Oryzias latipes: one gene and its partners. The protein of the gene in region 6 purifies or fractionates together with the protein of the main gene of each other region. This does not show direct contact. Links are inferred from orthologs where the notes say so. Each region holds a gene or a part of one and is shown on either strand. Other genes may lie near its edges. The genes, in order: sos1, nedd9, gab2, rap guanine nucleotide exchange factor 1, gab1 and crkl.

Region 1 (3,994 bases), on a different chromosome or scaffold from region 6:
GTTGGTCCATCTACTTCGCCTGGACAAGTCTGGGTCTGACCGTGGCTGCCGGCTGCCTTGCTACCACCTTCCCCTTCCTGAACCGGGCCCGAGCTCTGAGGTCCAAAACTGCACGGGAATCTTCTGTGTGAGCTGTTGGTGATCAGCAGGACACCGGACTCCGAGACGTGGTCCAGACTGGGCTGCAGAGGTTTTATTTACACTGGCTTCTGGACTCTTGCTGAGGGAGAACCTCAAGAGGACTCATACCTCTGCTGCAAAGCTTCTGTGGAGCATGGCGCCCCCTTCTGGGTGTCTTCGATAGGAACAGTGTTTGTAGTGTCAGAGGAACCGCCGTCCGACCCGGCTTGGACGGGTCTTACAGTGTCTGTTAGCCAGTGACCGTTTCTCATTGTGAAATTATGTATTTTGGCTGACCCCCCCCCCCTGCGGTTTTTACACAGGTGTGATCACAGGTGAAGATCTGGTGAGTTTGAATCTTGAGGGGCGGGTTCAGGTCCGATGATGGAGCCTCCTCTCTGACTGCATGGAGGCGCAGTTTTTGGCTCCAGATGAGCCCAGATCCATTTCAGCCCCCCCATCAGGCCACAGACAGGTGGGAGACACATGGGGGGGGGGGGGGGGTCGTGATCCCCATGTCCGGTCCATTGAAAAGTCAGCAGAACTTAGATGTGTCCAAACCTTTTTCACTCAACAGCACCAGATTTTTGTAAAGGTGATCAAGACACCTCCTTAGTGCAGGTAAGAAGGTCCGAACAGGGCCCCCCATACCACTTAACCTGACCCCCACCCACACACCACTTGACCCCCCCCCATTTGTAAATAAAATACTTGAAGCCCACCTGATCTCAGAGTGGTTTCTTCTCATTGGTACGGAGTCCCTCAGTTGGTTCTGGTTCTGAGTGTTGAATCTTCAAATCAGACTCCACTCTGGAACTTTGAAGCTAATGGGGGCGGAGGGGGGTTGTTACGACCCCCCCGACCCAGATCAAGGTCAGTCCTGGTTCCGGTTCTGTTTCTAACCTTCAAAAACGTACATCAGGACAGAGTTTATTATTTGAGTTCTGACCTGCACGTGCTCCTATGTTCCGGTGGTCCGATTCCCATCAGATCAGTTTGATTCTCCGCTCTACAGCAGCCCCGCCCCTGAACGTCAGCAACTACCCACTGCGCATGCTCACTATCTCGCCATGTTCGGTTCGGTCCTCCGGAGCGCTGCAGCCGTCAGCAGGTGACCGTCCGACCTTCCGGTTCGGATCCTGGTTGAGACAGACCGGGTGTCACGCGGCCCCCACCCGCAGGCGCCGCACTGGAGCCCCCCCCCCCAGCCGCAACGGTGACATGACAGCCGCGGCGCGCCGTTTGCTCCGCTGACCCCCCCCTCCGCGCCCAGTAACCGACGCAGAGACCCCCTCCCTCCCGCCGCCGGCGAGCCTGTGCTGGGAGCGCGCAGCCCGGGAGCGCGCAGCAAGCCATGCCCTCCGCCCGGTCCAGCTAGCTCCTAGCCGCGGAGCTAACGGTTAGCCGAGGATGGTGGCGGCGGTCCCGGCGGATCCCGGACGTCGTGAGGCCCCCGGCTTCAGCCGCGCAGCTGGACCCGCAAAGCCGCGCACAGAATTCACGCCAAACGGAGCCGCGTGCGTGTGAGCATGCAGACGGGCCAGCTGCAGTTCGATTTCTGCAGCGAGGACAACGCTCCGCGGTGGAGAGGCCTGCTGGTGCCCTCCCTGGAGAAGGTAGGTGCGCACGCACGCACGCACGCACGTAGGCGGCTGCTGCAGCCAGGTGTGGCCCTGCAGGTAAGCCGGGCCGTTCCGTGACAGGACGGCTGACGTCAGATGGGGGCAGCGGGGTCTGCCTGCTCCCCGGAGGCTACAGGTTCTGGACTCTTCCAGCTCACCTGGACCACTTCAGTCCCGATCCGACCTGAACCACTTCAGTCCCGATCGGACCTGGACCACTTCAGTCCCGATCCGACCTGGACCACTTCAGTCCCGATCCGACCTGGACCACTTCAGTCCCGATCCGACCTGGACCACTTCAGTCCCGATCCGACCTGGACCACTTCAGTCCCGATCCGACCTGGACTGATGTGGTTCTCTTGTGATTTAGAAGATCAACACTCTGCAAATCTGTTCCTCACTGTCCCAGAGTTCTTTGTTGGACCTCCAAAGTTGTGGGTTGGACCGGGTAGAAGCGCTCCAGGTGGCTGACCTCTGACCCTCTGGATCCATGTTTCATAAGTTCTGCTCACCATCAGAACCTCTGACCGCTGTCATCAGGCCCGCGTCCTGAGAGATCCATTTAATGATGGCAGAGTCCAGCTGGTAGGCAGAAACTACAACAGGAACTCAAAGAATGATGACAGGTTTCTGACCCACAACACGGTCTACCACCATGTGGACCTGGTTTGTAACGCTCATGGTTTCTGTGTTGGTTCTGGTTCTACTGCCAGCGGTGCATCAGGTGGAAATGTGGGAGGTTGGATGGACTGAGGTCTCCTGGGTTCAGATGATGTTCTATTGGGTCAGGACAGATGTTTGGACTCCTGCATGTATTAATTTAATGGGATTTAAAACCCAAAAGGTTAAATTATGATTAAACGACTTTAAAACTGGACTAAAATAACTGTTTGTGATCATCAGCTGTGGTTCTGGACGGGAACATTTCCAGAGAAGGTCTTCTTAGCTGCATGAAAGGAGCAGCAGGTCTGGTCTTTACCTGGTTCCTGTGGGACCAGCATGCAGACCTGAACCCGGTGTAGAGTCTGACCGTCGCCCATAAGTGGGTTTCGGCCTGTTGGTGAACATAAATTAAAAAAAAGAAACACAGAAGAAGCTAAAACCAACAGAAACTCAGAGAGAAAGGTGTCTTTCTGTCCTCCTCCACTGGGGGGCAGCACATATCCATGAGGCCTGTGTTTCTGCTTGTTCTGATCAAACCTGCTCTGTCATTTCGTTTTGTTTAATTATTGATCAAACGTTGTGTGTGTGGCTGCACGCTGCAGGTACTGAACCAGGTACACCCCAACCTGAAGTCCCAGCAGGAGGCGCTGCAGTACATCGAAGAGCTGATCCTGCTGCTGCTCAGCATGTTGTGTCAGGCCCAGCCTCGCACAGTGCAGGACGTGGAGGTGACGCACACGTGCACACATGCACAGATACACGCATGCACACATACACAGATACACACATGCACAGAAATACATGTGCACACAAACACACGTGCACACCTGCACCCATCCACACGTGCACACGTTTGCCGTGGCCACATGCATGTTCCACCAACAAGCCCTTGAAATCTCCACCAATGATTCAGACCTACAGGCTTAGGGATGCTGAAACCTGGAAACAAACCCTCTTACCTTTAGTCACCTAAGTGAGGTCAAGCCTGCAGGTCAGGTCACTTGGTCCTCACACCTTCTGTCGGTTGTCTTAGGAGAGGGTCCAGAAGAGTTTTCCTTATCCTATCGACAAGTGGGCGATTGCAGATGCTCAGGCGGCCATCGAGAAAAGGAAGAGAAGGAACCCTCTGTCTCTGCCGGTTGATAAGATCCATCCCCTGCTGAAGGTAACCGTCCTGTCAGTGTTTTCTCCATCCTCCGCTCTTGTCCATGTTTATCAGTAACTCTGACTCTCAGACAGAATCGTCTTCAGGAAGAAGCTTTGCTGTTGGCTTCCACAGAGTAGAAAGTTTGGGGAAGCGGGCCGCGGTTTGGAGCACTGAAAAGATCTCAGGACTTTTGCATCTCTCTGTCTCCCATCATGCATTGTGTTCAGGAGGTTCTGGGCTATAAGATTGAGCACCAGGTGTCCGTGTACATGGTAGCTGTGTTGGAGTACATCTCTGCTGACATCCTAAAACTTGCAGGAAACTATGTAAGAAATATCCGCCACTATGACATCACCAAGCAGGACATCACTGTGGCCATGTGTGCGGACAAGGTACATTCTAACCCCCCACGCCGTTCTAGAAACACCTGACGAACGCTGAG
Region 2 (3,500 bases), on a different chromosome or scaffold from region 6:
GAGCAAGGTTTGTTGGAAAACGTGCAGAAATGCGGCCCTCAAGGCCTGGAGTTGCCCTTCCCTGATCTAGATTGTCGAGAGACACAGACGAACCCACGGACCCATGGGCTACAGAACTATAAGTCTGAATCTACATGAATCTGAACCAACAGAAGTATGAGTCTCAATCTAGACTTGAGTTTGGGATTCTAGGTTCTACATGAACCCTCAAACCAACACAACGATGAGTCTTAATCCATAGGAAAATGTGAACCAACATTTTCTTATAAACCATCAAACTGTCTTTCCAGATGACGTTGATGTGTTTTATGTTTATGGATCCAAACTTTCTTATAAGTTTCTTGAGTCTTGTTTTAATGTTTTTAACCGAATGTCAAACCAAAGAACCGGTCTCCTGATTTTGGCACTTTTTCATCAAACAATGAATTTGTTGTAAAACTATCAGCAGGGCAAGTTCTCCTAGTTCGTACTGGCAGGAGGTTGGACAGAGAGAGTCGGCACAGTCTCCACCTTGAATTTAGTTGCAGTATTTTCTGAAATAGATCAGGTGTATCCAGTTTTCCTGTCAGGTGCTGTATAGTCAGCCAACATAAATCCAAAGGTTAACAAAAGACAAACATGGCAGGATTTTGAGGAAACACAAACAATTGTTCAGTGTCTGTGTCAGAGGTTCAATCGTATGAGCAGGTCTGTGCACTAAGTAGAACAGGCATTGAGTCTATAATGGAATTACATTTCTGTTTTTCTGCAGTTTGTTTATGCTGGACTTTAATCCATCTGAGAGATTACAGCTGCTGGGGATTAAAAGTGAGCAGTTTCATCTGCATCCGTCACCTCACCTTGGATTTTTCTACCATGAAGACCTCTGTGGAGAGGCGGGTGTCGGTTTAGCGTCGATGCTGCTGCAGAGTCGTTGGTTGTTTGCTGAAAGATCACTTTCCTGCTCCTCATGTTGATGTACCCTTGAGCTAGTCAATTATGTCCTAATGGTGGTAAATGGAGCGTGCATGAAATGAGCCGAAGAAGGAGAATTCATGATGGTGGCTCCAGAGTTATCATCATGGTATCTGCAGATTGTGGTGATTATCTCAGCAGCCAGTCACATGTTCACTGAGAATGCTGAGCTGCCCTCGGGCTGTGATCCAAGTCTGTAAACTGCATCAAAAACTAAGCCCCTCCCCCTTTCTGCAGAATCTGATGGCCAAAGCGCTGTACGACAACGTGCCGGAGTCCCCTGAGGAGCTGGCCTTCCGGAAGGGGGACATCTTGACTGTCATTGAGCAGAACACAGGGGGACTTGAGGGTTGGTGGCTCTGCTCCCTGCACGGCCGCCAGGGCATTGCCCCCGGAAACCGCCTGAAGCTACTCATCGGACCCATGTTTGAGGCCCCGTCGTCAGCCACTCCGTCTCCCCCTCAGGGCCACCAGCAGAGAGGTGGGGCAGGGGCCCAGGGGCTCTACCAGGTCCCACCAGAGCAGCAAAATGTCTACCAGGTCCCACAAGAGCAGCAGAGTGTCTACCAGGTCCCACCGCGAGGGGGTCTCTGCGGCGAGAACACACCCAACAAGGTAGGACAGAACCTAAAATTCTTTTGCTTTTTTTGCTGAAACTTGGAATTTTTTTTGCATAAAGTGGGCAAACAAACATAGTGGGCGTAGCCTCCCTCTCTGCATTGGCCATAAAGGGAGGTGGAGTTGTGACCAGGCAGAAGCTGTGGGCCAACACTCACCACAGCGGCGTTTCCGGTGGTGGTGCGTTGGCGCCCTGTGCGCTGCAGAGCGAGTCTGAGCTGCAGAGAGGCAGCAAATGTGAGCGGCAGCTGTGGAAAAGCAAACAGCAGATCTGTTTAGTTTGGTGAAGCAGAGCCCCCTCTCTCTACTCAGGCTTCTTCAATCCTGAGAACCTTGCAAGGAAACTCCAATTTCCCAGAGTTCCTGTGTAAAGATGTCACTTTCCTTAAAGAATTTAAATGTTAAACTGGTTCAAGCTTTTGATCTATGAATGCATCATGCTAGACTCCTGGTTTGAGTCCTTCGAACGTCTCTGGTTCATGCAAGCAGACTTTCCACTGAACCAAAGAGAGACATTTTTGTGTCTTTGGAGGACACAAAAAACAACGACAGTGTGAATCTGAAGAATCAGGAGTCATAGAAAAGTTTAAAAATCTCTACTGTGTAATCTCTACTGGTGTAGCGAGATGCTGCAGGCTCTTATTTGTATGCTGGTCAGAGGACAAGTCGCTTTTTTTGTATTTTCTTCCTGTTTAGAGCTTGCTTTGAGGCAATAGTGTTGTCAAATTTTACAGGAAACTGGCTCAGATGTAAATGAATAAAAAGACTAACATTAAATTTTGGCTACAAAGTAAATAATATGTGGAATTTTCCAATCCAGATGTTTATCTGCCTCACCTGGTGCAGAAAAAATGATTTTTTTTTTGCTATTCCCTGAGTCAGCTCTAAAACTAATTATGGAGGCATGATGATCTATTGATGCTGACATCATCATGCTGTCAGCAGGTGTGTTTCCTGCTGATCAGCCTTCAGGAGATGAATGAAGTCACGTGGTAACCCGTACACCTAATGTCCAAACAGCCTTTCGTCACGGCGGTAGCAGGGCCAATCATCTACGTACTGAAGTTGTAAAAAGGGAGGTGCATGACAAACTTTCCATTTTCTGGCAGGAGCGCCTCATCTTGATTGCCCAAGATGCAACATTCAAAGAGCATGAGCTCATCTGATCTCCAGGAAGGAAATGATGGTTCTTTTTTCCATCCAGACATTTCTGACTTTTCTGAGCTTCTCTGCTCACTGTTTTTTAAGTTTCTTGATTTGATTTCTGAGTCCCATTACCGGACCCACAGTGCTCCCTCCCTCCCTCCCTCCCTCCCTCCCTCCCTCCCTCCCTCCCTCCCTCAAAAACTGGTTTCTTTTGTGACGTGATGCTCTTGGGTCCTCCAGGTCACACGTTGGCCCCCGCCTGCTTATTTTTCTTCCTGGCAGAGGTTCTAGCACACAGAGGTATCTGAGGTTTGGCACTCGCCGCCTCTCAGCTTGTTGGGTTTGATGTAACAGCCCCCCCCCCTCTGAGCTCCACTCTCTGGATGCACAGAGAGATACTCCTCCCCTTTTGGAGAGATGGGGATGGGGGGGGGGTCTGCAGCTTTGAAAGGTGTGTAATTCTAGGCTATCTGGCCACCCTTCTTTCTTTTTTTAACTGAGGCGATGACAATGACAGCCGGTCCTGTCTGCTCCCTCCAGACCCCCCCCTCTCTGACCCCTGGTCTCCTACCTCTGCTCCTTGTTTGGTCTCCTCCTCAAAGATCGGTTTGCTTATTGGTGCCATAAAGACTTTCTGCTTTAACAAAAGCTCAAGAGATAGAGGAAGTGCTGATAAGCATCCAGGGAGCGCATGGGAGGGGGGGGGGTGACAAAAGTCCGCCTCGAGGCAGGAAACCTGGATGGCTTCCTTTGACGCTGTTCTTATTGGCGTGCATCTCCTC
Region 3 (3,500 bases), on a different chromosome or scaffold from region 6:
TGTTTTAAAGAAGCCAGTGCAGTGATACATACATTTAAGCTATGTGACTGGAACTTCTTTTTTTAGGCATGCCCAAAAAACACAGTAATGACTTCTTGTGTTTGACAATTGACCAGAAAGTTCTAACATTAAGTATTGTTTGCTCAAATCAAAAAGGCGTGGGGTGATTGTAAGGTAAAGAAAACCTTCCACTATACAGATCATTGCAGGGTCTGTTTGCATTAACACAGACAGTTAAGTTTCAGTCATTCGGTTGGTTTTGCTTTCCTGTAATGTACAAAAATCACAATAAAGCAGCGGGAACATAAACATGAAAGAGGATGAGCGTCACTTTCCATCACCATTGAAAACACCAACACCAAAGACGAGCAGGCAGATGAAAAGCAGACATCATCTGCATTAAAAGTCCATTCAATCCATGGTGAAAACTGAACTTAAAAGTTTTTTTGAGCAAAGCAGGTCTCACAAGGCAGACCTTGCATGTTACTTGGGTTGCACTTAAAAAGTGTCTCCAGTTTGTGGGGCTATTTACAACCAGAAAATGGAACGGAAACCAGAAAGACGAAACACAGATTTTTTTTCTTCTTCTCTCTAATCAAACCAACAAACAGCTAACAGTTGTATTTCTTAGAAAACAACAGGTTTATTTTAAACGATCTTCTCCCAAAGACGTGCATTTCTAACATTTTTCTGATCATGCTGAGTACACTCAGAGAAATCATTTGCTTTGGTTTGCAGATTAAAAAAAGAGCCTTCAGATGGTGTTACTGCTTGGAAACCCAGACTTGTGGTACTTTGTGGTTTGTTTGTTTTTTGCTCACACACACACACACACACAAGGATGCTAGGAAAAAGAAACTCGAGTTCTCAAGAAAATGCATTTTTGATGGACACACAGCAAAGCTTCTCTGAGAAAAGAGCAAAACATTTGTCTGCAAAAGGACGACACGAGTTCCGTCTGCAGCTCTCCTCCTGCAGCCACACCCTGCCAGCTTGAGTTAATGCAGTTTGAAATCTACAGGAGCACCTCGCTAATTACTCAATATGGGCCGGGGGGATCTTATCACGATGAAAGATCATTGCGCTCTCCGTGTCTGTTTTTCAAGTCCACACCTGGACATATTGCATGTTACAGATGATCAACCATGTGCGCCAAGATTAACGTCCACCAGCTGCCAGATGGCGGGAAGACTGCAGCGTGCAAGCAATCTGGATGAGAAGAACACACTCTGGAGTTTACACAACCACCGGCTTTATGCTCGGGATCTTGCAGGTGGATAAACTGCTGGCGTTAGGTAAAAGGGCGGATGCAGTGAACTATTTTTGTTTACTGTCAACATGGATCCATAATCACACGCTTAGGGAAAGTGTTAGCACACACGACGCCTCCCAACGACAAAGAGCTCAGGTCTGTAGTAGTGAGTCATCGGCCCAGGTTATGTTTACATACAGCAAAAGATACCAGTTAACCAAGGAGGTGAAGTCCATTGTTACGCGTTACAGCGGTCCCTCGTTTATTGCAGTGGTTCCATTCTAAAAATAACCCACAATAAGTGAAATCCCCAAAGTAGAATTACAGCTGTTTTAAGGCTGTAAGACTCCTCACTACACACTTTATGCAAATCTGATTTCTGTAGGTTTAGCAAACTTAACATCCTGTACAGGGGATGCGGCACGGAGGAAAGTGATTAACAATGTCCACAGCCAATCAGGATCATGCAGATAAAAAAAAGGGCATGGAAAATAGCTATGACAAATATCCACAAAACCGCAAAAGGTAAACCACAACATAGCGGGGGGGGGGGGGGGGGGCATGGTCTAGAACTCCAGGCTTGGAGCACTCCCTGCTATACGGTGTTTGCCACTTTGTCTGGGTGTCCAAATCCACAATTCAGAAACACAGTACCCTAGAAATATCCCATAGGTCTCTGCTAAAAACCAGTGTCCACTAGAGTGGCAAATATAGACCACAATGCATTGCATTTGAACAATTTGTCATTTGCAATGGCAAGTCAAATTGATGACGTCATATTTGGCATTCAAAAAGAAAAAATTAGTAGTGTGTCTGAATTGCATTCAAATCCTGGGGACTGAAAAGTCCGGCACTATATAAGCTTTTGGGGAAAAGGGAGCTGCAACTGACTGGTGACTTGTTCGGGATGTATCCCGTCTTTGCTCTACATTAGCTTGGTTGGTTCCAGCAGCCCTGTGACCCCGACAGAGATAGAGCAAATGCAGGAGATGAATGGATGGAAGGAGTTCGGAGTTAGTGAGTGAATTCTTAAAAAAATCTTTATGTTTTCAGTCTGGAAGCTATCGCACCAATACTGGAAAACATTTCTAATTTTTTTCTGGAAAAATACTTAATTAAGAGTTCAAGTATATTCTCTAGCAAGCGTGACGTACTTTCTATTCTATTTAAGCAAAATAAATGAAGAGAAAATCCAAAATAGCCCCAAAAACTCTCTTAATGTTTCCCTGGGATGTTTAAACATCGTAAAAAGATGAGTCAGCATTTGTCCAAACACTTGCTTAAAAGTGTGTGACAATAAAGATGCCAACTGTTCCAAGAATTTTTTTTTTTTTAAAAAGGAAGAAAGAGTGTCATAATGAAGAACCTCAACATATTTTGCAATACAAAATAACAGATAAAGAAACTGGCATATTTGTTACACAGACTTTGACAGAAGTTCTGTCAAAGTCTGCACAGAACTGTCGCTCTGAATTTTCAACACTTGAAGACCAGACTGTCGAGGTGTTAAAACCACATTAAAAGTACTACACGCATCAATAATATCTTTATAAATACTTAGAAAAAGTTGGGGAAGAGTAGAGTGTTAGGCTACAGCTCAAAATTATAAAGAACCTTTGGTGCATCTATGTTAAACCTTTCAATACTGGAGCTATAGTTCTGATGTCGATGCTTTTTGAGTTACTGCAACTCTTCAACTGGTCAGACAATAAACATAATTCCAATGGAAACTGAGCTTTCGTTGATGTGCGACAGTGGAAAAGCTGCTTGCAAATCCGTTGGAATTACATTAATTGCGTGAATGGTCAAAGAGTTATGGTAATTCAAGGAGCTTATGAGGTTACCAAAAACAGGTCAAACAGAGGACAGATGAAAGGTATGGCACAGGTGTGGCTACCGTGAGTGTCGTCCGCCTGGTTAAAACCACACAGCTGGCAGATGGAGCGGACCCACTTGTTCATCTCCTCCTCAGTCTCAGCAACAAGATAAAAGGTCCGATCGGAAGTCTTAATGTCGAAAACAAAGCTGTCCTGGAACTCCTTCCTCTTAAAGGTCAGGCCGGCGTCCACCTGCTCGCAGCAGTGCAGGTCGATGACCCTTATGGGCTTCTTGGAGTGGTCGTTCTTGTAGTACTCCAGGACGTCTGGGTCGCCGCTCATGCGGCCGCTGCGGAGAATGAACCAACGCTTCTTCCATGCCTGGAGATGAAATGGAGAAAAAAAAGACGGGACTGAGCACTAGTTGGGTA
Region 4 (3,500 bases), about 9.4 Mb from region 6:
CATTGAACTGCATTACAACTTGTGCGTCTCCATCTACAGAGTCCTTCTAATTCCCAGAGCTTCAGCTGTCTTCCACTCACTTTAGAGCTAAGCCCTGTGGAGACGGTGGAAAGATATTCCCCCTGTGTGTGAATCAGCTGCAGCATGTTGATACAGGCCTTTGCCACACCTTAGTGTTAAGGTCTGAATGTACCCTCAGCTACTGGGAGAAACAACACCCCACTTCCTCGAGTGCTTAGACTCTCTATTGTTAGCGCAAGGGAGCTTATATTAACCTCTACCGTTGTAGCTGTGCATTTCTGCTGTCCGTGTTACCAGCTCAGTGGCCTAGTGGGAGAGCGTCCGGACAGCAAAGCTATTCTATCCAGTGGGCTAAAACTTCTCTGGTCACTTTCAGTTAAAAAAATAAAAATAAAAAAATACTTCCAAAATCAGTGTAGTAGTTGTGAGCAAGACCAAGAGCAGAGCAACCCCTACCACCCCCAACCTAACATTACTGGTGCCGAAAAATCAGAAAATGCAACAATGCATCAGAAAAATGCAACAAGAGCCTTCTAAAAACACCAGAAATACAATTTCTAATCCGAGTGGGTCTTTAAAACGTCACAGTTCACTACTTCACTACTTCACTTTCCTATTTAATCATAAATAGGAATCATAAAAAAGGGACTGAAGCATTATGTTTGTCGATAAACATAAAAAATAAGGTTACAGTTCATGCAACAACAGAGCCGAATTATCAATGTAACAATTATGCCACATACATATAATAAAAATACTACGCCTATTCACAAAAACATGCATATTTGCTAATACACACATTCATTTGGCTTGTATCTCACACTTATTTGACTTTTCAACAATAGCCGAAACGTTTTCGCAGTATTTACTACTATAAAACATTTAACCAAAATATTCCTAAAGTTTGTTCCAAAACAGAAGGACATCTCCATTTTACATTAGTTTTTTATCTGCTTAATTCAAACATAAAAATACCACTCCTATTATGATATAATGTTCCTCTCTTCTTTTAAAAATGGAATGCACTCTCAAACTACTTTTAGAGACCGCAAACAAAATTTCCAACGTTCTTACATGCACAATATCCACCACTAACAAACAGTGCTTCCTGTCTTTAATCGTCATCAGTTTTAATTGTTTCTTTATCTTGCATTAATTTTAATTTGATCCATTTCTTTTCTCCACACTTGATCTCATGTAAGTTACAGTTACTGTTTACTGAAATCATGAATGAATGCTTTCTGAAGATAATCAATCATTAATATTCACTTGATTTTGTAACTTGAAAAGAATCTAACGCATCAGAACCGGATTACAAAATCTATGTAAAACTATAAAAAGAATTGACTCGCTATTATATAAGATCACTTCTTCCCACTCCTTTTTAAGCAATAAATCAAGCTCTACTTGACTTTAGTTTATGATCACTACATTTAATCAAGCAAATGTGACTCAAGTGTGTGTGGTTTTTTTTCTATCTATGCATTTTAATTTTTTATTGTATTGACTACAATGCTTTAAATCAGTCAATCAATCTCGCCACATTTTGTCTTACAATTGTTTTAATAGCGTCCTGTTTATTGATGTCTCCCCTCTCGTCAATAGTACGGCGCTGACTTCCTGCCACAGCCGCGTCTACCAGAGTTTGGGCAACCTCATCCGTTGGGCCGACCAGGTCATGCTGGACGGCATCGACTTGGAGGACAAGGAGAACGTGGCAGCTGTCACCAGTGTCATCAAGGCAGTGCTGGATGGAGTCAAGGTGGGCCTTTCCCTGCCAGAGAGCCTGTAGGACGTGTTAACATCAATCTGTGTCGCATTCATTCAGAAGGCTGAAGCTGCCTGTGTCTGTCTCAAAAATAGGAGCTGGTGAAGCTGACCATAGAGAAACAGGAGCAGCCATCGCCCACCACCCCTAACAAACCGGCACCACCTGTTGCCCCAGCGGAGAGGTTAGAGCAAAGCATGCTGGGATGAGCAGACTCAATCAGAGCAGTTAATTAACTCGCTCTCTCTGCTTTGTGTGCACAACAGTGTGTCATCGGAGACGCATCTAATAGATCGGGAGCAGGAAGTCTCAAAGAAGGCAGCACCAGCTGCTTCTCCTGCAGAGTCTGCCCCTGAATTGGCAGATGAGGATGTGGCCCCTCCCAAACCCCCGCTTCCAGAAGCCAAAATTGCCGAGCTTAGGTGAGGATGTTGAATTGTGGAGAAGAAATATTACACATTTTCTTTGCATGTTCTCGTTTCGGAAGTCTAAACTTGTGGATTCAGGTGGTTTATCAAATGTTTCAGTTAGGAGGCAGCTTCAATGAAAGATTACCCACAGTGCTTAGGAGTCATGTCCATTTTCTGGGGGACTTTTGGAACTTTTTAGGAAATGACTGGATTCATGATTTCCCTTTTTTTTTTACTTTCTGTTGTGCTCACATGAGTTGGTCCTTCATTTATTTCGTTCACACACAAAAAAAAAACGTCTAAGAGAACGTACGCAAAATTCTGTTTAAAGACCCACACTGATCGTCTTTGATCTATTTTAGAAGCATTCCAAGCGGTCTTTTATATTTTGAATATGCTGTTTTTGGCCAAAAACAAAAAAACCCTGCTTTGTTTTCTTGAGCATAGTTTCTGCAGAGCAGAAGTAGTTCTGTCTACGTGTTCTTCTGCCAACTTAAAGCCCTTCTCAACCCCGACCTAACATCACCGGTGGAAAAAAAAAAATAACTAGCAATATCAGAGCCATTCAGATCTATACTTTGGAGCCAAATGCCAGCTCAGAGGAGAAAAACAAAGACGTACATTAATCTAGTCTGCAGGTGGATGCATCAGAATGGAGTGGAGCATGGAGTTTGTGGACTGTCCAGCGTATTTTACAGCATAGAATAAATAAGTTTTGAATAAATAAATAATCAGAACTGGGAATTTTACGCTTACTTTTATTAATATATGTCATGTTAAAAACTTCATAAACACAATTTTCATCAGAGTGGGTCTTTAATCTTTTTTCCGATCTTTATTATTTTGGCTTTATCACACTTGAGGTTTAAAATCGTGATCATTTTGTCTGTTGCTCTTCCTCCTTCCTCACTCTTTGTGATGTGTCTCTTTCATCCCTGGTCTCCCTTTGGATTCTGGGAGCAGAGCGCAGTTGAATGCTGACGCTGGCCAAAGGAGACCCTCTCAGAAGGAGAAGTATGTCAGCCCATGGGTTCATCCAGTTCCATAATAACATCCCACCCTCGAACCCCATGAAGCTTCTGAATTGGATGAAAGCTGTCGACTTGCATGTTTGCATCCCCCCTTCCAATGTTTGTGTCCTTGTTTCCTGGAGAGCCCATCATCCAATCAGGGGTGGTCGAGTGCATGACTGTGTGTGACTGACCTACGACGTGTCATTTCGCAAGTCTTCATATCGTGGTCGCTTGAGTTCGCTCCTGCCCCCCAATCCTAAAATTGACTCCCTTAGAGTGTTTCGGTTT
Region 5 (3,500 bases), on a different chromosome or scaffold from region 6:
TGAAAATGACATAAATAAAGCTTTTGGTCAGCTTGTGGTCATCTGGGAATGAAACAGTCAGTGTGAGAACATGCGTATAACCTTTGGCCTCATTTTTGTGCTTACCCTGCAGGCATGGAAGAAGCGATGGTTTGTTCTTCGCAGTGGCCGTCTAACAGGCGACCCAGACGTCTTGGAGTATTACAAGAATGACCACACCAAGAAGCCTATTCGTGTAATAGATCTCAACTTGTGTGAGCAGGTATTACTCCTTGTTCCATGGGAAACACTCGATTTGTGTTGTGACAGTTTTGCTGTAGATGCAGTGGAGATACTTGCTACGTTCTTTTTCTTTTCTTTCTTAAATGAGGGTTTGTTTAAAGCCTGCTAGTCTAGCTTTATAGTTCATTCCACATTTTTTTACATTTATGTAAGCCATTATATTTGTGAAAATGAACACTTCTTGGGAACTTCAGTATAACTTGGTAGGTAAGGCTGTTTGTATAACTGGGGGTGGGGTGAAGGGTTGATTCGGACTTAACCAGAGATATAGTATCAATTAACTAAGCTAAATAATACACAATATAATCACTATGACTTAGAAATGACTCAAAAAACTAAAATTGCAACAGTAAAGCCTAATTTATTCAAAGTTTAATTGTGTGGCTAAATGTTTTATGGATGAAGAATGAGGGGGGGAAAACAGAAGGAAAACTTCCAAGAAATGTAGGGAAATCTTTACTTTTAGCCATTATAAAGTTGTTTACAGTATGATTATTATTTATATGTTCTATTCATTCAGTTACCTTTTCATGTAATATTGAGGACCAAAAGAATTGGCACACACGAAATAATTAAACATTTATTTTAAAAAAAATCAATAGTTGCATCATCCAGAACTAAGTTCATCATTCTAAAATATTTCAAGTAAAAAGAAAATAGTAAAAACAAACAGCAAAATGTATTAACCACTGGGTAGTTTTTAATTCTAATCATGTTTTCTCACTCCACTTTTTTTAAATACCATTTCTTAGCAGTGACTTAGTACCTGAACATAATGAAAAGGACTCCTAGAAAAACAAGAATAGAGTCTGAGTCAGAAAGTTTCTGGAAGATGTTATATCACAATGCCTAAAATGCACAAAAACCAGTGAGAATCTCTGACAAGTGATGGTAGTTAAAATGGTTCATGGTTACTTGGGAAGCTCTACAAAACATCATGGTAAAGTAAACAACCCCCAAAAAAATTAAAAAACTCAAGTAAAACCACTTGCATACAATTTAAAAACAATTTTGAAACAGTAAATGAAAATGATAAAATCATTATTTTAGCACGTGTTAAAAAACAGTCTGGGGGCAGTTCTGTTTTTTTTTCTTTCTGAATTAGGCTTAAGGAGGAAGTGTAAGTGTTGCCCTTTGCTATGTCCAGGAGCAGCTGATTAGCTGACCCAAGGGACTGGGAGAGAGGTGTGTGCCTGTAAGAGCTCAGAGTTCAGGGCAAGGCCACTGAAAGCATAAAAACAATTAAGTCTCTTAAACGAACAGGCAAAAAAACCAAGACTTGTTCACCAAACTGTATTTTTTGTTATTAACACAGATCAAACTCAGTCACCTTGATACTGAACCACTATGTTGTAAGACAAACTCTGTTGACGTCTCACCCTAGGTTGATGCTGGGCTGACGTTTAGCAAGAAGGATTTGGAGCACAGCTTCATTTTCGACATTAAGACCATCGACCGTGTCTTTTACCTGGTGGCTGACACTGAGGAAGAAATGAACAAGTGGGTTCGCCACATCTGTGACATCTGTGGTTTTAACCCCACTGACGATGGTAAGCGTTGCCCCATAAGTCGTTATTGTACTCCTAACAATTACAAGTCCTGTTACTGTTGTGTCAATGTTCGTTTCAGGGAAGTTGAATACTCTACAGTAAACAAAACTGATTATTGTTAAGCAGAAACAATGTTTTAACATTAGCTATTTTATTAATCAGCCAAAAAAAAACTTAAAAGTCAAAACGACTCCCTAACCATTTGTAATGTGAGTTAAAGAGCAACATGACATTTTTTTTTCCATTTAGCTTTCAGGATTTATTTATTTATGGGAAATTAATAACTCGCTGCTCTAAACTTGAAATCTCCTCAGCAACAGTTTTTTATTCAAAAGTTGTTGTTTGACAATACTTCTTACCATCCTGCACCAGGCCTTTTGTTAGTTTTTGGTAAAATGCATACACAAAGAGCACTGTAACAAGCATTTTTCGTCTTTTAATTGTCTGTAGTATAGGGCAAAAATCGTAATACAAAAGTCTTTATGTGAAAATGAATCTAAAGTTTTAAAAATCCGACTTTAGTTTGCTGGTGCTTTGAACATGTTTTTTTAAGGAGACCTATATGTCCAGTGATATGAGATCCTTGAACTCCTCCACACAGTCAAGCTCCACTTCTCCTAGGAACCCACCAGATGGATGACATTTTAGCTATTTTATTTTTATTGGTAAATATAATCATAGTTCTGTTGTTGTCCATTAACATGTATGAGTTAATGAGCCACTGCTGAATATTTCCAAGTTCTGCTATAAAAGTTGTAAATATTTTCTGTTTGCTATTAGCATAATCAAAGCCCCAAGTACTTTATAAGTCTTTCAGCCCTTTTTTTCTTCTAGTTCCAATTTCTCTTGCTCCTTAGCAGTAAAATGCATCAGCTTTTAAGTGAGGTTTGACATAAGGGACTGCACAGGTTCTTTTTAGAAGAGGACACTTGTCAAAGTTGTCAAGTGACTCATTGGTTATGGTGCTCTGTCATCCTTGCAGCAGCTATGCCTCAAGTTCAGGAAAAAAATACTAACATTGAGCTCCTCTTGAACAGAATTTTTCATATTGGCTCTTTAAAGACGCACAAGCTAACAGACTTTTCAAGGATAAAAATTGAGACATATTTTTTTTTTCAGATAGGCCTCTTTGGCTGTTATTGTAAAAGAATGTCCTTGGCTCTCTTTCTGTTTGCACTTCTCTGTGTGTGAGACCCAGCTCCCACTCCTCTGTAATGTGTGGCCACACTACACGCAGAGCGCTTCAGAGCCGAGCAGATATTAGAGGAAGGAACATTAGGAAAGCTGGAGGAATGGAAGCTCTCAGAGATGGTGTAGGTGGTATAGATTAGTACTTTCACACACATAAAAAAAGCATTCCCCCCTTTTTTTTCTCTGCAGATTCTTACACAAAACCTAAATAGCAAAAAGGAGCGAACACAAGTGCCGGAATTGACTAGAAATGTTTTTATTAACTCAAAACTGCTTTTGTTTTACAACAAAAAATAGGATTGCTTGGATTATAAGCAGTCATCTTTGTTCACATTTTAGGAGAACAACTCAAGCAGACATTTTTTTTAAAAGATTGGAAATATGGTAACTCTCCCTGTTACAAAGCACAGACCTTGGTGAGGAACTGTATTTATCTAGTGTGGGAAGAAAAACAACAAAACATACAGGCCAAATATCCCAACAATCTACAAATGCCAG
Region 6 (4,045 bases):
CGTCCAATTCCAGACCATATATACATTAAGATCGAGTGAAAGGGGAAGTTAAGAAACATCAGGAAATGAAATAAGAGAAACATGCTTTTTTCTCCTTTAGAGATACTTAACAGAGAAAACGGGCTTTTTCATTTTAGCGAGTCTATATCTCAGTCTATTATAAAGCTACACATCTGCAGAGGTATCAGCCATAAAAAATATCTAAGCACTAAGATATAAGGAGTTTTGAAAGTGTAGCTAAAAATTTTTGCTTTAAAATCTCTGACAAATTCAGCAACTCCCTGAACCTGAAAGGGATTCAGCAGGTTTAGGAAATGCATGGATGGATGAATTCAGGCTAAAACCAACAAAAACAATGGTTCACTTCTATTTAGCATAAAAATAACAGTAACAAACACAAAGCACTGATGTACTTTTCTACTGAAGCTCCTGCCAGGTTTACGTCAGAGAAAAATCAGCCCAAAGGTTGCAGACCCCTGGTATACTGTGACATTTCTCACACAATATTTGAGTAGTTTGGTTTTATTAAGTTATTTTTTCTCTCTTATTTACTTCAGAATAGTAGCCTAGTCTATGATCAGTGGTGGATTTAAAACATTTCATATGGGGGGGCAGTAGACTTTAATTGGGTGGCAAATGTGATAAGCAGAGAGGAAGGCCATTACAAATGAAAGGGTTAACCATGTTTCATAGTTTTATTATTGTTATTAATAACAACACTGCATTTTTTTTTTTTGCTGAGGTGCCATTACTAACAAAGCTTGCATTAATGATTTCTTAATCTTTGTGAAAATAATAATACTGTTTCAAAAATTGGTTGGGGGCAACTGCCCCCTTCTGCCCCCCTGTAGCTCTGGCCCTGCTCATGGTGGTTAAATGGAGGAACTCCTGCTTCACACGATTCCCTTTTGTTTATTAGCCGTGCGATCATTGAAAATTTGGCCGCACATCTTTTGGTTGGTGTTTTGTCAGGTCTAAAATGGAATAGGAAGAAAAAGAAAAGAAAACTTAAACCGGCACATTAAAAAAGAAAACTTTATTGAAAATGAACAGTTTTACAGAATATATAGACAAGGGCATCCGAAACAAATTAATGAACACACTTTTTTTTTACTCACAATAATAAAAGCAAGGGACATGAAATGACAACAGTGACACATCAAAGTGGGCCCGCCAGAAACGTCATCACTCGCCCACCTTTTCCTCCGCCCACGGCCCCACCCCTTCCTCTCCTGCTCCCCTCCGTGACGTGCAGATAGAAAGCGGGACCAGCCCTCCCGTCGCCATTTTTCCCGTGTCCTGCTTGCGCTTTCTGCTGGCTGAAACAAGCGGGACCCGCTGAAATTAGAGAACGGATATCGCACGGAACCGGCACGCCTGGATCTCTCGCGGGCACTCGAGGAATGCACGCGAGAACTGGAGCGCAGCAGACACGCGGCGGCCGTCATATCATTTTTTGGTGTGAAGACGTGTTGCGAGCCGCCATTTTTCCCCCCCTCAAAAGTCTACTCCGACCCGAGAAAGGGGAGTTAAACACCCCAATTCCGTGACGTCCGCCTTTTTGTGACACCAAGAGGATACAGAGTCGGTATTTTCTTTCTCTACGCTGTCACAATTTTTGTTTTTAGTTGCAAACATGGAGATGGAACGCGCCTGAGGCCACCCTTTCCGTTCTCGTAACTGACACTGACTGAACTGAAGCTAAATAATTGTGAGTTTTCGCGGAAGGCGGAACAACGAGAGGAAGCTTTATTGATCATTTGTTGCTTCAGTTTCCGTCGATGTTCGTCCGTTTCGGGGCCGTTAGCTGCTCGTCACATTATGCTCCCGGGCTGGATCAGCAGGTCGGTCGCAGCCTGTCGCTGAAAACGTCAGGTTGATCTTTTGTTTATTTGTTTTAATCGGGTCCTCGGGCGACGAACGCCCTACCCCGCATCTGCCAAGTACTGCAGCTGGATGCGATAGGCCCGTTTGAATCTAACTTATTCAATAGTTCTCATTTTCTTCTTTATATTAACTTATTTTTTAAAGATTTTTTTTAAAATGTCCGCGTCCCGATTTGACTCGTCTGATCGCTCGGCCTGGTATTTCGGACCAGTGTCGCGACAGGAGGCGCAGAACAGGTTACAGGGGCAGAGACACGGCATGTTTCTGGTGCGAGACTCGTCCACCTGTCCCGGGGACTACGTGCTGTCGGTGTCCGAAAACTCCAAAGTATCTCACTATATCATCAACTCTTTGCCCAGTAAGAGGTTCAAGATAGGAGATCAAGAGTTCGAAAACCTCCCAGCCCTTCTGGAGTTCTACAAAATCCATTACCTGGACACAACAACGCTAATAGAACCAGCATCCAGGTACGATCGTGACGTCTTCCAGCATCCCGGTAGACGACCACTTTCTGTTCTGTTATTCCTCAGCAAATATGTCGTTGAATTAGCATGTTATTGGACAGTTCCTGTTGAGTTTGTTTTAACATTAGCTAAGATGTTCATGAATAACTAGCCTGATCTGTACACAACTGTGTGTGACATTAGGGGGTGTAACAGTTCGATTTGTATCATAATTCATAGTTGCCAACCCGATTCATAGTCGATATTGATTCATTTTGAATGATCCGATCATCCACTGACCTGAAATCAATCCACCATGACATATTTCGCCAAAATTTCAACCAGTTCGACTCAGAGATAAATACTTGGATACTCAACAGTGCAGGTGAAATCTTCCAGATTCCCTGTCTTTCTTGGAAGATAATCAGGTGTAAATTAAATATGTGTACAAACAAACAAACAAGTAAACAACAATTAATGGCAAATGTATTTTAGTCTAACAAAGTTCAGCCCACTTTTGTTTTTCCACATAAGAATAATACAAAGGCCATTTTTAGAACATTCTACCACACTGAATGGTGACGTCTTAGCTAAATTCATAGTAGTTCCTTAAATTGAACTGGAACGATGGACTGATCTTTTTTTATTTTATTTATTTATTTATTTTGCCGCTATCACGTTTGTTGTCCTCTCTCAAGGTCGTTTTTACGTTATAGAAAAATAAACAATCCAAATGGTATTTTCCTGTATCGATTTGAAGGTCATTTTGAAATAATTTAATAATGGTATAGATCAATTCTATTAACAACAGATAAATCGATCTGGAAATCATTTAAGGCAATTGATCGTTACACCCCTGTAGGGTATAGTACATTTGCGTGTGTATTCTAGTGTTTTTACACACTCTTACACACCAAGGCATTAGTGCACTTCATGCAGATGATACCTTTCTTAACCCTTTGACACCGTAACTTTAGCTGCTGTGTTGATGGTCTTGAATTACAGTAACTCTTCAACCGTTTAGGCAATTAACATATGTTCTGAACTATAAGTTGCAGCAGCTAAACAATACATCATAAGGAAGGGGGGAAATCATCTATTAGTCACACTGGAGTTTAAGTCGCACTTTTTAACATAGTACGTGACCAAGAACTAACGTTTAATCTCTAAAGGAGATCATACTAATGGAAAAGATAACAATAATGCACTTATTATCTGCACACTTCACTACAAACTGATGCATGTATAGTGCAAGCATCAGTGCATTTTTAGCCAGTTTTCTCAACTGTAGAATCTGTTGGAATTTTGTTACTTGGGTAAATGGTCCAAGAGTTACAGTAGTTTGAAGAGCATGTGTTGTTTCATGTCTATTAAAGGGTTAACAAGGAACCATTGATACACTCTTCTACGCAAAACATTTCAGTTGGGTCATATCTTTTCAGGTACCCAAGCACTATTGGTGGTCCGGTCCAGTCTATGATTGGTCCAGAGGATAACTTTGAGTACGTGCGGACACTATATGACTTCACTGGTAGTGACGCGGAGGACCTTCCATTCAAGAAAGGGGAGATCCTTATCATTTTGGAAAAGCCAGAGGAACAATGGTGGAGTGCCAAAAATAAAGATGGACGCGTCGGGATGATCCCCGTGCCCTACGTGGAGAAATTGGTACGACCCTCCCCCCATCCTGGCCAGCCTTCCCACGGCTCGCGCAA

The links.
Region 1: the proteins of crkl (region 6) and sos1 purify together in Homo sapiens (affinity purification with mass spectrometry; 3 studies listed by BioGRID and IntAct, with this or other methods). This does not show direct contact. The link is inferred for Oryzias latipes from reciprocal best matches to the Homo sapiens genes CRKL and SOS1.
Region 2: the proteins of crkl (region 6) and nedd9 purify together in Homo sapiens (affinity purification with western blotting; 4 studies listed by BioGRID). This does not show direct contact. The link is inferred for Oryzias latipes from reciprocal best matches to the Homo sapiens genes CRKL and NEDD9.
Region 3: the proteins of crkl (region 6) and gab2 purify together in Homo sapiens (affinity purification with western blotting; 3 studies listed by BioGRID). This does not show direct contact. The link is inferred for Oryzias latipes from reciprocal best matches to the Homo sapiens genes CRKL and GAB2.
Region 4: the proteins of crkl (region 6) and rap guanine nucleotide exchange factor 1 purify together in Homo sapiens (affinity purification with western blotting; 16 studies listed by BioGRID and IntAct, with this or other methods). This does not show direct contact. The link is inferred for Oryzias latipes from reciprocal best matches to the Homo sapiens genes CRKL and RAPGEF1.
Region 5: the proteins of crkl (region 6) and gab1 purify together in Homo sapiens (affinity purification with western blotting; 3 studies listed by BioGRID and IntAct, with this or other methods). This does not show direct contact. The link is inferred for Oryzias latipes from reciprocal best matches to the Homo sapiens genes CRKL and GAB1.

What each region holds. Positions count from the first base shown.
Region 1 is NC_019859.2:117,276-121,269, reverse strand, and holds the start of sos1 (son of sevenless homolog 1), read left to right. Parts: upstream 1-1,194; 5' UTR 1,195-1,649; coding exon 1,650-1,736; intron 1,737-3,007; coding exon 3,008-3,133; intron 3,134-3,438; coding exon 3,439-3,570; intron 3,571-3,779; coding exon 3,780-3,944; intron 3,945-3,994. Other genes in the region: tmem178a (transmembrane protein 178A), read left to right, coding at 1-131.
Region 2 is NC_019869.2:19,397,688-19,401,187, reverse strand, and holds part of nedd9 (enhancer of filamentation 1), read left to right. Parts: intron 1-1,191; coding exon 1,192-1,569; intron 1,570-3,500. UniProt on the Homo sapiens protein: Scaffolding protein which plays a central coordinating role for tyrosine-kinase-based signaling related to cell adhesion. As a focal adhesion protein, plays a role in embryonic fibroblast migration.
Region 3 is NC_019871.2:6,604,121-6,607,620, forward strand, and holds part of gab2 (GRB2-associated-binding protein 2), read right to left. Parts: intron 3,451-3,500; coding exon 3,150-3,450; intron 1-3,149. UniProt on the Homo sapiens protein: Adapter protein which acts downstream of several membrane receptors including cytokine, antigen, hormone, cell matrix and growth factor receptors to regulate multiple signaling pathways.
Region 4 is NC_019870.2:8,075,448-8,078,947, forward strand, and holds part of rap guanine nucleotide exchange factor 1, read left to right. Parts: intron 1-1,626; coding exon 1,627-1,783; intron 1,784-1,884; coding exon 1,885-1,973; intron 1,974-2,055; coding exon 2,056-2,211; intron 2,212-3,162; coding exon 3,163-3,213; intron 3,214-3,500. UniProt on the Homo sapiens protein: Guanine nucleotide-releasing protein that binds to SH3 domain of CRK and GRB2/ASH. Transduces signals from CRK to activate RAS. Involved in cell branching and adhesion mediated by BCAR1-CRK-RAPGEF1 signaling and activation of RAP1.
Region 5 is NC_019859.2:18,118,041-18,121,540, reverse strand, and holds part of gab1 (GRB2-associated-binding protein 1), read left to right. Parts: intron 1-112; coding exon 113-241; intron 242-1,645; coding exon 1,646-1,811; intron 1,812-3,500. UniProt on the Homo sapiens protein: Adapter protein that plays a role in intracellular signaling cascades triggered by activated receptor-type kinases. Plays a role in FGFR1 signaling. Probably involved in signaling by the epidermal growth factor receptor (EGFR) and the insulin receptor (INSR).
Region 6 is NC_019870.2:17,501,609-17,505,653, forward strand, and holds the start of crkl (crk-like protein), read left to right. Parts: upstream 1-1,245; 5' UTR 1,246-2,043; coding exon 2,044-2,354; intron 2,355-3,772; coding exon 3,773-4,045. UniProt on the Homo sapiens protein: May mediate the transduction of intracellular signals.